Linked DNA regions of Arabidopsis thaliana. The protein of the gene in region 2 interacts with the protein of the main gene of each other region in a pairwise test. Each region holds a gene or a part of one and is shown on either strand. Other genes may lie near its edges.

Region 1 (6,090 bases), about 17 Mb from region 2:
ATGGTGTGTGTAGTGTGGAAGATAAAGGATACTTATAGTAAAGAAGAAATATACTTTGAAGGTTTTTTTCAGATTCCTTGAAGGCAAATGATTTTTGACTTATCGCTAGACAAAAGAACTTAACTGAACAAATAGATTCAAAGCTTTAAACAATTTATGGATATTGTAGCTATATAGATTTTATAACTAATAGTAGCAATCAAAGATAGAGAAGTTGGTCACTTTACATATATGTTTGCTCTTCAACAAACTGTTTTTTAATCTCTACAACAACGATCATGGAGATTCGCTTCTAAGAAACTGGAATCTATCATTGGTTAAGAGACCGAGCAGACCCGAGCCATTGAGGTTAGCGTATTTCACATCTTGAAGCGGAAGTTGACTTGACAATGCGAACCGTTGTGAGACAGCAAAAGACCAAGGATCTTGCAAGATGAGTTCACGGGTGGACTCATCATACGATGCAAAAAGTTGTGTCATTTCCTCGCCAAAGTCTAATCGCCGTTCTTGGCAAACTGATGGCATCTACTATAGCTTGTGTGGATGACTGTTTCTGAGAATAAGAACCATCACCTCTTCTCTTGAGACAAACATGAAATCCATCTACAATATGAACCGAATTGCTTGTTACGTCAGCCAACGAAACCAAAGGTCCTCTGTTTTGACGCATGTCAAATACTAAAACCATTCCATTCTGTAGTCCAGCATAAACATTGTGATAGTTGTTGAGATCCCAAGAACAAGACAAGGTGCAGCTGGTAGACGAACAACGCCACCGTTGGTCCAAACTTCCATACAGATCGAACATAATGATTCTTTATCCTCCTGCAATCCTGAAGACGATGATGAACAAACACTTTCTGATGACCTTCTTTGATACTCACTCTCGTTCTGTGAAACCCTAGGTGAGTCTACCACATCGATGTATTGGCTAATTTGGCGTTCTTCTTCCTCATCAGGTTCATCGAATACTTCCATTGTTATTCCGACATTACCACAGACGAAACGCCGTAGTCGCTGCATTAAGGCAAAACCCAAAACTTAGCTTCTTACAAAACAGAGCAATCTGTATATAAAGAGCAAAGCAGCTTAAAAAGTAAGCTCGATTAAAAGAAAACTAATACTTGCGTTTCCTTTTTTTCTTCAACATGAAAACCGCAAAAAAGGAAACTCTACATGAAAACCAATTAGTATTATGATTCTTGGTGTGATTTGGTTAATTCACAATCAGAGAAATACGAAGCGGAAGTTGGAAACCTTTGGAAGACAGCAAAAGTGGAAGGAACACAACAAGTTTATTAATTTTAACAAAATAGAGGGGAAATGCAGGCTGTGGGGTTCGAACCCACGCGCACTTATGTGCAGAAGAACTTAAGTCTTCCCCCTTAACCACTCGGGCAAACCTGCTTGTTATTATTTTTCTCTTCCTATTATATTTATATACGCAAACTGGTGTAGTAGCTGCATATTAACCACAAGCCCTAAAAATCCTTAATTTCGGGTCCATTAGATTATGTTACAAAGTGACATGCTAACTAATCTTCAATCAATGTATGTTTTGGACAGAGAATTTCAAATGTAGATTTTCACTAGAAAAGTCTACAAAAAGACTTAATATCCATACCACTAAACACAAACAAAGGTTTAGCACAGTTTCAGCTACCAAAACGATAAAGTTAAACAGGAAGAAATGCCTGAAAAAAAAGACCAACTAAAACTGGCTCACTCGCAAGTTCCAGATTTAAGTACCAAAAGACATCAAAGTTCTAGAGTAGATATTATAGAGAGTAGTCATCATGCTGCTTCTTCTTCTCAAGCAGCTGCACTGTGTTTGGCCTTTGTGTGAGACTGCAATCCCATTTCCGAAGTAAAGGTTCTGGTGCACGACTTGCACCCAAACGCTCCTGCAGACTTCGGTGTCTGCTGCTGCTTCGATGTCTCTCCAGTGCTGCCTCCACCAGAATTCTTACCCGCCTGTTTTGAGGGATGAGGAGTTGCAACATGGACATGCGGTTTCTTCGAATCTGCTTTGTCCGAATGTTTTTTAATTAAACAAATCAATCTTCCTTTCTATCGTTAAAATAAGTATTCAATGGGGAGATTGGTAAAAAGGATTTAATCACCTGTTTTCTGAGGAGTTACAAACTTAGCCTTCTTGTTGGACGCAGGGTTCTTGGAGGAGTTGGGTTCTGCAGACCTCTTCTTGGGTTCTTCAGGCTTTTATAAACCAAGAAAACTTAGAATCAGATTCGAGCTTGACCACAGAAGCAGAGAAATTGCTCCCAAAGGAAGATAAGATAGAACAAATATAGGTTTCCCATCAACAAGCACATAAAAGAGACTGTCATGTTACCTTCTTTGGGGTTTCCTCTTCTGAGGAGTCATCTTCTTCGTCGTCTGATGAGTCATCTTCCTCACTGTCAGATTCAGCAGTAACCTTCTCTTCCTGAAACAAAGCAGCCATGATAAGGATTAAAGAAATGTGAGAATGGGCTAAAACACAATAGGTAATCAAGGGTTCATGTGAAAATGCAAATATAGAAGTTACAAACATACTTAAGATAACTCTAGTACCACTGTCTATAGGTTTAATCAACATGTCACTGAGCCTAAGTAAAATTCTATAACAAATTGAGCTAGTATATATAGATAAAAGTACCTCCTCGTCTCCAGAGTTTTCACTATCATCATCATCTGAAGAATCTTCTTCACTACCGTCAGCGTCATCATCTTGCTTGGCTTTGACATCTTCATTTGGCAACTGAAAGTTCACCTGTTTCGCAGCAGATTTCGGAGCAGCTGGCTCAACCAAGGCCAAATAAATTTATAAGAGATTGATGTTCTTAAATAAACTAAAATAAGACAACTGGAGACAAATCATTGCAGGACTGGATATAAAAGTCCCCATTTACCTTTGAAACCAGCAGCCTCAAGTTGATCATCAATCAAATCCTCAGGCTCGGTGAGATAGAGTCAAGGAAGTCAAAAACAGAGTAAAGCAACAAGTCCCCAAAACATTTTCATCAACAAAGCTTAAAGCGATAACAACAAAAATGTTCAAATAGTAAAGGATATGGATCAGATGCATCAACTTTGTAACCAGAGAAGAAAACGCTCCCATTCTTCCAAGTATGAGACAGCGCAAAGTTCCTTTCCAAGACAATCTCCGTAGACAGCTGAGGAAACTTCTCATGAGATAGCGTTCCAATGAGAAGCTTATCCGATCCAACAGTCACGTAAAGCTGGATTGGTTCGGTTACATTGTTCTTACTCTCTCCCAAAGCAACCTTCAACAAAAATAAACCAAACGTCACTGTAAAATACATTCTTATAAATCAAATTAAGCTTGCAAATTCAAAAGTACCTGAGAGATGTGCACGAGCCTGTCTAGCCCAGGATCTAGGTGAAGTGGTTTGCCATTCTTAACTTCAACACCTGCAAACGCATAGAAAGCATACAAATCAGTAATTCTGCAACAAAATCCCCAAATGAAACCTCTATCGGAGTTAAAACCTAGCGAGAGAGAAAACTTTTCAGTTTTCCCCAATTTTCTACGAAGACGAACAGTCCATACCCTAGATTGTCACATATACTCACTATTCCCGTTTCTCGTTTAGCTAAACAGAAGATTCCATAGAAAAAACAGTAGAAAAACATGGCAAAACGAAAAAAAGCGATGAAACCAGAAGCTAAAAAAAAACTAAATGCAGGAAATGAAGCGCAGAGAACGAAGAAGAAGAAGGAGTAAGATAGGAGATGTTTTTTACCCCAGAACTCCATTGTTGTGCGAGGTAGTGTGATCTTGAAGGCGACGATGCGTCGAAGGAGAAGGAGAAGGTTCTAGAAGAAGCTGAGAGCGATTCGTCTCTCGAGAGCGGTTTTAGGGCGTGTTGATGTGAGAAGGCTAAAATGTCCGCTGGAATTTATTAATCGGAGGAAGGGATTTTAGGGATCCTCTGTTACGCGGTCCACTCGAATATCTCCTTTAGTTGGGCCATGATTTTAAAATTAGCCCAACAAAACTAACGTTTCAAGCCCATACTTTATTTTGACGGCTTTTTTTAACGGTGTCAGGACGGATCGTAACGGACTTTTAACACTTTATTTGACTGACGGAGTTTTCGTCAACATGTGGGGTCTATATATTCATGTCTTCATGACAATATCTATCTCCATTCCTCAAAATAAGTCCCACGGATAAATTGAGCATAATGTATCGCAAAGTTTTAATTTTTTTCTAATCCAAAGAAAAACCAGTTAACAAAATCTGTGAAGAGTTTATATGATAAAACTAAGTACGGTCCCCGACTACGAATAATTAAAATTATTAAATGGATAGTTGCACGAGTGAGAATTAAGGAACACTATTATTATATTAAACACAATTCATTTTAGTTAGATCTATTCGGGGCCTCTCGTGTTTAGATTTAGAAGAGTTCTCGGCATGAATCATGAACATTTTCCAATGCTCTTAAATTTATAGTTTACCAATATTATACTCCGGTTTTACATATCACACATAATTTCGATTTTTTTCAACATATGTGATCATAATCAATTGTTAAGTTTTAATTTATGCGCATAAAAAAATATATGTTTGTATAGTAGTTAAGGAGAATTTTTTTTTGTTATGTTTTAGCACTTTTTGGATTAATACTAGTTTTAAAAGTATGATTTTTTTTTTATTTTTTTTTGTGCACAAATATGATCAAACCCAAAAGTTTCTTTACATAGTAGCAACTTTATATTCTCAGCAGCCATGGCTAAAAAACGTAAGTTAATGACAAAAATGCGTTGAGTGCAATGAACCTGGCAGTATTCGATGAACCTTAGCGGATCAAATGATATAAATATGCAATAGAATTTAAATATTTATTTATTGTCCAAGCTGCGTGGATAGCTTGATAGATAAATTAATGACAGCACATTGACTACCCAAGCTGCGTTGATAAGTACTTGATCAAAATCTTTACATTTTTATGAAGTACTATAATCCAAAGTTAACTTTTAAGCAAAAGATAATTTTTTGTAATGGTTGTGAAAAATTCACTTATAATAACACGAAACATAATGAAGTATTATTAGTTCATTTATATATAATACACAAAAAACATAAAGGCAATAAAAATAACCAAATTAAAAAAAAATGGAGAAGTAGAAAAGAAAACGAAAAAAAAAAAAAAAGAGAGAGATAAGATGCATGCATGGTATAGAAGTCGCAGGCCGAAGACCAGAAATACGAATGTGTTTGAATAGACAAATTAAGGAATATAAAGACAGAAGAGCCCATCCATTTTCGCATACACGAATACATCCCCCTCGACTCCAATTATTTTATTATAGTCCATTCTCTCACTTTCTATTCTAAATATTGTGGACGTTATAAAGGCTTTTTATTTATTTTATGTCGAGTTTTTTAGACTACGTAGAGCCGAATGAAAATTTCATGTTTAGGTATACGAAACTTGGATCCAATGTTACGGATTCAGATTGGTGTAAAAGATCAAATTTGATAGTATTTGGATTTGATAGGCAAGATGGTTTAGTATTTTACACTGTGTATGTTCCTCTTTTAGCTTTGCGTTTTCTACTTTCACTACGATACTACTTTTTATCTTCCAATTTCAGTTGCTTATCACCAAAATATGAAATACCAAATTAATTGTTTAAACAGTTTTATTAGCGATTAAATTAGCACAAAACATATGAATAGATATCATAGTCGAATACAAAAATTAGACAAATAATAATACACTAAAAAACAAACTAAATTGGAGAATTGTTTTGACAAAAAATAAAAAAAATGTCAAAGTTCCATAAAAAGGAGGACAAAAGAGGAATATAACGAAATTATCAACAGAAACGCACCGAGTAAGTTTATTTCCTATGATAACGCAAAAACAAAAAAAAAATCCAATTCCATTAGAGAGAGAGAGAGAGAGAGAGAGAGAGAGAGACTTTTTTAAAAAGTACAAAAAAAAAATGAAAAACTAGAGAGAGAAACAAGTGGCTAGCTAGCTCGCCAAACTTCTTCAACAATGGCGGTTTCCTAGGGTTTGATGTTTATATGATCGGGAAACTCTCTCATCT
Region 2 (7,406 bases):
AATAAATCCAAATTTATTAAGAGTTTTAAAGATTTTTTAATAAATCAAAAACTAATAACATCAAACTAAAACAGAGAAGCTAACCGTATGTATATAGGGAGGCTAACAGCCTTGCAGACGGGTTAGCGAACTATGCTTTTAATCTATCTTTAGGTATTCATTAGTTTGATTTAGCTCCCTCATTGGTGGAGGAGATTGTAAGGGAGGATGTCCGAGGAACTGCGTTTCCGAGGCTCACCCGCCTACCGTTTTGTAATTTCTTTTCAGTTTCAATAAATTGCGGGAGACGGTTGTTTCCCCTCTACTACTAAAAAAAAAACTTTAACAGAATTTAATAGAATCTTGATTAAATAATAACAGATTTTTCATATCATTTAAAGTAATTAAAACACAGTTTAAATCACACACCACCTAAGACTTTTTTTCCATCTTTTTCATTAATCATATTGGACATTTTGCCTCATTATCCCACATTTAGATATGTATAATAGAGGCTTTGTTCGTTGTGGTTAACTAACCCTATTTCTTATGCTTCTTTAGATACAAAATCAAATTTTCGTACGGACCAACATTATATTGTCCATGAATTAACACTGAATGCAAAAGGACATGTTGGTCTTTTTTTCCCCTCTTTATTTGTTCTTCAAAGATTTGGTTGGATCTAAAATGTCAAATACAATCATGAAAAATCAGGATTTTATCAGAATATTATTTGAATGATACAAAAGAAAAATGTAACTTTGAACAAAAATTATTAATACCATTAATGTAATCGGATTCGGGCATATATAGTCAAAAAGGTTATTCTAAGAATAATTTAGACAAAAAGGTATAAGAGTTAGGCAACACTTTTCGGTTGTATTCATTAGACATCAATACCTTCTTGTATTTTTCAAAATAAAACTAAACAAGTGTCTACTTTACGCGAGTCGGATTAGAATGCATTTAAGAATTTAATTAGTTAGTTCATCTTCAACTAGTGAAGTGTTAAGGTGTTTAAAGATTACAAGATCAATCGTCTTAAATATAGGCCTTGAGGAGAGAATAAACAAAACAAAACAGATTTTGAAGTTTTAAACAAAAGACACTTACTAAAAGAATCCTAAGACCATGCAAATCCTAAAACTGTTTATCTCTTATGTCGCCTGCAAAGAAACAAATATAGTTGTAAGAACAAAGATTTTGACAACGAATCTAAAGGGAAGGCACAATCAAGCGTGCGGGTAAATCTTACCATGCATGCGTTTAATGAAGTAGTCCAAATCTGGAAAGCAAGTAGATCCTTGAACCAGAGGAGAAGGTTGACGATATGTGAAGAAGGAGAAGTGATAGCCATCTGGATGGTTTCTTGGTTTAGCTATATCGATTAATCTCATACAACCATCTCTGTCGAAACAAGTAATCGCATTCTCTCCACCGATTTGAAGTCCCTTATCCCAAGCTGCGTTGATCACCTGCCACAAATAACCAAAACTTTAGGGTTAAGATTACATTTGCTGAGAAGTAAAAAAAGCTATAGTCATCAATAAAAAGTGTCATTACCTGCCAACTTAAACCTTCTGGATCAGCTAATGCTTCTTCATGCGCATTGGGAGACATTTGTGGCCCAGGGCACACAAACTTCACAGTCACGGAATATTTCTTCAGAGTTTCGAAAACAAGAGAGTACCCATCACGGTTTGAAGGGTTGTAGTATCCTGCAGTTAATTCAGCAGCATGACTAGCTGTCTTGTATGACCAGTATATTGCCGGTATCTGCATTGTTGTTTTTGGTGTATGAGTCTCATTGTTATAGGCATCACTGGGTTTGAAGGATAAGTGCCAAAAGGATTATACCTTGACAATAATCTTCGTCTCCTCAAATGCGAGATTTGCAAGAGACAGAACATTCTCAGCATGACCAATTAGCAATTGTGAGTACCAATTTAAGAAGAAGCGGCCATAATAGCTGTCATATTCACCTCTTTCTTGGAAGAACACAGTTTCATGTGGATGAGAACTGTATTGACCAGCATTCTCTGGTCCTTTACCCCAGAAAGTGAATCCTCGTGACTTTGCTTCCTTTTGCAGACTCAATTGCGAATATTTGTCATAACACTGCAATAGGAAAAATAGTAAATTGATATGTTAACTTCACTAGTCATAAGTTAGAACGTAGAAGTAAAGTTCAGCAATCTGAAAAATACCTGAAACTCACCGATACCGGGATAAATCCAACCCATCCTTTCTGGGAAAGATGGGTACTTTAGTTCACCAGAAGCTCCAAGACCAATCTCAACCGCAGTAATTAGTCCTTCCACAAACAAGTCATCAAACTCTGACCGGAAGCTTCTCATAAAATCAAAATAGACCTGGATAATCAAGTGTTGAAAAGGAAGAAATAAGAATCTAGACAGTACAAAAGAGGAGGAAATGAGACATAATATACCAAAATACTGAACAATTTCTGAGCAATGAGTGTTCTTTGAGTACCTCTATACCAGTTCGTCCATGCAATACCCGTTCCTTGTCAATGCTCCAATTCAAACACTCGAAACTTCTTCTTCCTTCACGATCAGTGAAAAAAATGTCTGGATTGTCTTTCCCAATCTTCAACACCCACTGTGGCAACGAAATCATCACATTCCCAGATGCATTCCCTCCATACTCATGAAATGCCATCACCACCTTCAAACAAACCATATACTGATTGCTAAGATATTATGAAAAAGACGGTCCTTTATAGGGAAAGTCACAGTTTGGTCACATAGGATGTATTTAACAAAGCTCTACAAGTAAAAATATTCACACCTGTAGCTTAAGTTTGAAGTCTCTGATAAGGTTAAAGAGCTCCCTATAGCCAGACCATACATATTTCTGAGGGTTCCATCCTTCAACTATTCCCCACCAACAATCTATTACTACTCCATCGACATTTAATGACTTCATGTAACTTAATTCTTGTCTTACACCTTCAGGATCAACCAACTGGCCAAAGTTGTCTATAATGCCAACCTGAAAGACAAGGTACAGAACTTTAGCACAGGAAAACTAAGGATCGCGGCAAAACTGGTAAGAAATATATGTACACTCTTTTTTATTGGGCAACATCCATATATATACACTTAAAACACAAAGTTCTCTCATCAGAAGCTCACTGGAAGCATGGCGTACACAGGGACATAAAAGCTCTCTGTGAAGTCATTACATTGCTCTGCGGAATGAACATCTTGTATAAGCTGAAAGAAAAACAAAGTGGTTAGATGAAACAACGTCCAGCTTAAAGTCAATTCTCCTAATAAGGAAATGAATTTATCATTCACCTGATTGGCTTCCAAGCATCCAACGGAGGTGATAGGACTAACACTAGTATACCTTCCATTCCCGGGATGATCACTCTCGGCAATACCAATAGAATCAAGAGACACAGGAGCAAGTTTCTCATCGTTCCTAAGAACTGAATGCTGCTGAGATTCAATTGCAGCCTTAGCACAGTTCTTCAATGTACTAGAAGAAAGTGGACTCTCAATAGATCTCGTCGGAAACTGTACCTAATCCAATAATATTAAACAATCTATGTTACATTAATAACAGAACAAAGCTTATAACTTTAAGAGCTTCACACATATTTGGGATCAAATTTATCATCTTTCCACTAAACCCTAACTTAAATAGCTTAATATGAAAGTTTGAATTTTGAGAGAGAGAGTTTCGAAGTTTGAACCACATGATTTGGTTGCTGTGATTGCCGATAAGTAGTACCATCGGCTTCAACACTCCAACCAGCTTCACGAGCCAAAGCAGCGATTACGTCATTCATATCAGCACGCGCCGGTAACGGAAAATTACCGTACTGTCTTAATCCGGCGAGCATTCTACTAGTGATTGCTCGTCTATGTCTTTCTCTAAGCTTCGTTCTCTCTTTTTCCTTCTCCCTCTCTCTCTTCCCTTTCCCTCCTCCACCTCCTCCGCCGCCGCTGCTTCCTTCTCCACCGCCGATTCCGGCGATGTTTCCGTTGTTTACATCGTTTTCCGTTGGAGCTATCGACGCTGCTGCTGCTGCAGCGGCGAATCCGCGAGGGCGGCGAGATTGTGGTTGGTTGCGGTTCCGGTTGGGAAATTGATCCGGGTCTGGAATTGGGTCGAGATTCGGATCTTGCGAACCGGTGGTGGTGGTGATGGTGTTGTTGAGAGTATGCATTTTTGTGCGGTGAAGTTGCTCGCTTCTGTGCTGTTCCCACATTTGAGATTTTTTTGTAACTTTATGGATTTACAAATCAACGTCGGTAATTATTATAAATTACGTTAAAAGTCTCTCATTATCAAAATCGTCAATATTAACCCCTCCTTTTTTTTTTTTTTTTTTGGTCAAAAACCTCTCTTTTTTTTTTGTTCAACAATAGCCAATGTGACCAGTTTTGACAAAGTGATACTGAATTACTGATGGGTTTGTTAGGAATGACACGATGGGTTTTACGGTTTTGTTTCCAATCCTTTTTTTCATGGTTTTATTAGTTTAGAAAAGAAAAACTGAATAACATAAATACATAATTTGTCTTTTGATTTGATTTTGGTTTAGTAAATCAAACCAAAATCATGTTAAAATTAGTTTACATATTTTGACTCAGGTTTTTATTTTAGGTAGGTTTTAGTAAAATTAACATTATAATTATAAATAAAATGTTAATGAATTTCCGTTTATTTGATTCGATTTTATCATGTTAAAATTAGTTTTTGTTTGGTCTTTAAATCGACTTTACAGGGCCGGTCCAACAAAAATCTTCTGAAGCTAGAATGCCACTATATCTAAATTGTAAAATACTGAAAACAATCACTTCATAAAAAAAAATGATTTGTATATTTTAGTTTATTGTGATTTACTTTTTTCAACTCATTTTTTTTTTCTATTTTTAATATATCTTTTTTCTTTCTTTCTTTGAAGTTAGTGTAGTTCAATTATATTTTAATTTTTGAGAATATAGATTCGATTTTGGTTCGATTTTGGTTCGATTTTGTATTTCTGCTTCGCAATTTATAAAACCAAAAGGCTTTGTCAACAAAATTTCAGTTTTGAGTATAGTTTGAATATTCTAGTTTGGTTTGGTTACAACTATTTTTCATCTAAGTGATCACTGTTCAATGACCATTTCAAAGCTTTTTTCTCAATTATAGTCCTCAATGAAGTCCAATTATGATTGCAAAAAAGATTAAAAAATCGAACGAAAACAAAAGAATGTTATAATAGTTTGAAAAAGAAAAGAAAGAAAAATAAAGAAATGGTGAGTTTGGTTTTTTGTTCCCTCTCGTTCGAACATCAAGACACACTCTTCCCGTAAAAGTCTCTCTCTCTATCGCAGATAGGTGCTTTGTCTCCTTCTTCGATTACTCCGATCACCTAAAAATCTTTCCTTTTCTTCAAAGCATTTCTCTTTGATTCAAAGACAACACACATAGCTTAGTTCCTACATTAATTTCTCGCAATAAAAAAAGTTCAGATTTCGAGGTATTCTTGCAATCTCGATCGAGTTTCAGATCTGGGGATTCAATAATTAGGGCTTTTGATTCTGCATTGTCAATGACGAATTCGGGTTTCAATGTAAAGATCTGAGGAAAAAGTTTCGATCTTTAGATTTTGACTTGGAGGTTTCTTCGATTGGTGGATTTGAAGAAGATGGGGAAAAGACTTGTGGGTCTTGTGTCAATGATGTAATTTTAGCAGAAAGTTGTTTGCTTTTGAGAAGAAGATGGGATCTGGCCGGAGCAAATCATGTCTAGGCTCGTCGGCGATGGCGAGAGAAGCTTCTGACGTGGCTCAACCTCCTCCGTCGTCTTCTAGTGGTGGTGGAAGGAGAAGAAGATCAAAGAGTCTTTTTTGTGGTCTTCACTCTTCTTGTCTTGCTTCATCTTCTACTTCTCATTACAGTGATGATGATAATGATGAACAGGTCTGGTTTTGATATTTAATTTATTTTGGTCAAATCTGAAATTAGGTCAAGTTCATGAGTTTTGATTTCTTCAGGTGTGTAATGGATGGATGAGGAAGAGTCATGGAAGTGTTACACGGCGTAGAATGGAATCGAGAAGAGATGCATCAGATTGCTATGATAAAGAATTGAAAGATGATAAGAAATCTGAAAACGAAAGACATTGTGATGAGCTTGAGCTTGATGATGAGTGTGGTGTTGAAGAAGAAGAAGAGGAAGCTAGTGTAAGCAATGTACAGATGAGAAATGTTAGCGGTTCGATTCAAGAATCTTCTACTCCAGGTCGAGTTTTTTCGCATTTCAAATTCATTCCTGGTAACATAAGCTCTAGACTTAGCAGAGCTTCAAGTTCAAGATCCTTCAACACGACTTATCCAGTCTCTTCTTCTCATAGAGAAGATGGTGTTACTTCACCTTCAGAATCTGCTATTAGGCTCAATGATAGAGTTGAGTCTCCGAGAATTCCTGTGATTGACAATGTAGTTAGAGATATTGATGCCATGAGATTTGGGGAAGATGGTAGCTTACGTTCTCCGAGAGTAGTTAATGGTATGGATAGTACTTATGCTGGACTTCTTGATAGAAGACATGTTGTACGAGAACCTTCTATTGAGCGCAATGTTAGATTTAGTAGAACTCTGAGTGTTGGAAGACTCCGTGATAGAGTTCTTCGCCGATCTTCACTCTCTGATTTCGCATTCCGTCCCTCGCCACATCAGGGAGAAGAAGATACTGATCTCTTCTCTGCTGAAACCGCAGCAGCAGAGGATGCTCCTGTGACTTCAACGTCTATACTAAATCGTTCCGCTTCTAGCATTCGAAGGACCTTATTCGGCATTCAGGATCATGAGACACCAGCTGCTCTTGTGAGAGAAGGGAGGTATCAAGGTTTATTAGAACACAGATCAGATTTCCTTGAAAGAAGGAGGAGAATAAGATCTCAGGTTTGAAACTCATTGATTCTCTCTTCCTTGATGTGTCTGATCAACTCAAGATCTAACTAACTGATATAACTAATTCCACAGGTTCGCGCTCTTCAAAGATTAGGAAGCCGGTTTGAGAATGTCGCAGTCCATCATGATAGATCTTGTGTCTTATCAGGTCAAGATCAAGCAGGTCGCTGCACATGCCGTGCAGTTACTAACCGTGGTTCGACAACAGCAACAACCGATGAAACAAATGCAAGAGCTAGCATCTCAAGGATAGTATTGCTAGCTGAAGCTCTCTTCGAGGTAAATACATGTTTTCGGTCTCCCTACTAACAGCTTTTTGCCACTATCTTTCTTTCTCATGTATGCTAAGGATCTACAGTGCATTCATTTTAGGTTCTTGATGAAATTCATCAGCAATCTGTTGTCTTATCCTCTCAACAACCATCAGTATCATCTATAGGATCTGTTCCTGCACCTAACGACGTTGTGGATTTATTACCGATAAAACTTT

Evidence for each region. Proteins that work in one complex are often made in the same cells at the same time.
Region 1: the proteins of BMY2 (region 2) and HD2C interact in a two-hybrid assay, tested with the Arabidopsis thaliana proteins (one large-scale study listed by BioGRID).

Annotation. Positions count from the first base shown.
Region 1 is NC_003076.8:979,684-985,773, reverse strand, and holds HD2C (histone deacetylase 2C), read right to left. Parts: upstream 3,916-6,090; 5' UTR 3,781-3,915; coding exon 3,768-3,780; intron 3,436-3,767; coding exon 3,365-3,435; intron 3,288-3,364; coding exon 3,076-3,287; intron 2,963-3,075; coding exon 2,913-2,962; intron 2,800-2,912; coding exon 2,660-2,799; intron 2,447-2,659; coding exon 2,354-2,446; intron 2,218-2,353; coding exon 2,124-2,217; intron 2,025-2,123; coding exon 1,813-2,024; 3' UTR 1,485-1,812; downstream 1-1,484. Other genes in the region: AT5G03750 (E3 ubiquitin-protein ligase), read right to left, coding at 277-450, 530-755, 869-978. UniProt on the Arabidopsis thaliana protein: Probably mediates the deacetylation of lysine residues on the N-terminal part of the core histones (H2A, H2B, H3 and H4).
Region 2 is NC_003076.8:18,350,410-18,357,815, reverse strand, and holds BMY2 (beta-amylase 2), read right to left. Parts: upstream 4,292-7,406; 5' UTR 4,223-4,291; coding exon 3,704-4,222; intron 3,531-3,703; coding exon 3,303-3,530; intron 3,219-3,302; coding exon 3,138-3,218; intron 2,995-3,137; coding exon 2,791-2,994; intron 2,668-2,790; coding exon 2,473-2,667; intron 2,352-2,472; coding exon 2,187-2,351; intron 2,098-2,186; coding exon 1,837-2,097; intron 1,756-1,836; coding exon 1,543-1,755; intron 1,455-1,542; coding exon 1,235-1,454; intron 1,146-1,234; coding exon 1,120-1,145; 3' UTR 928-1,119; downstream 1-927. Other genes in the region: AT5G45290 (RING/U-box superfamily protein), read left to right, coding at 5,724-5,924, 5,999-6,907, 6,989-7,195, 7,289-7,406.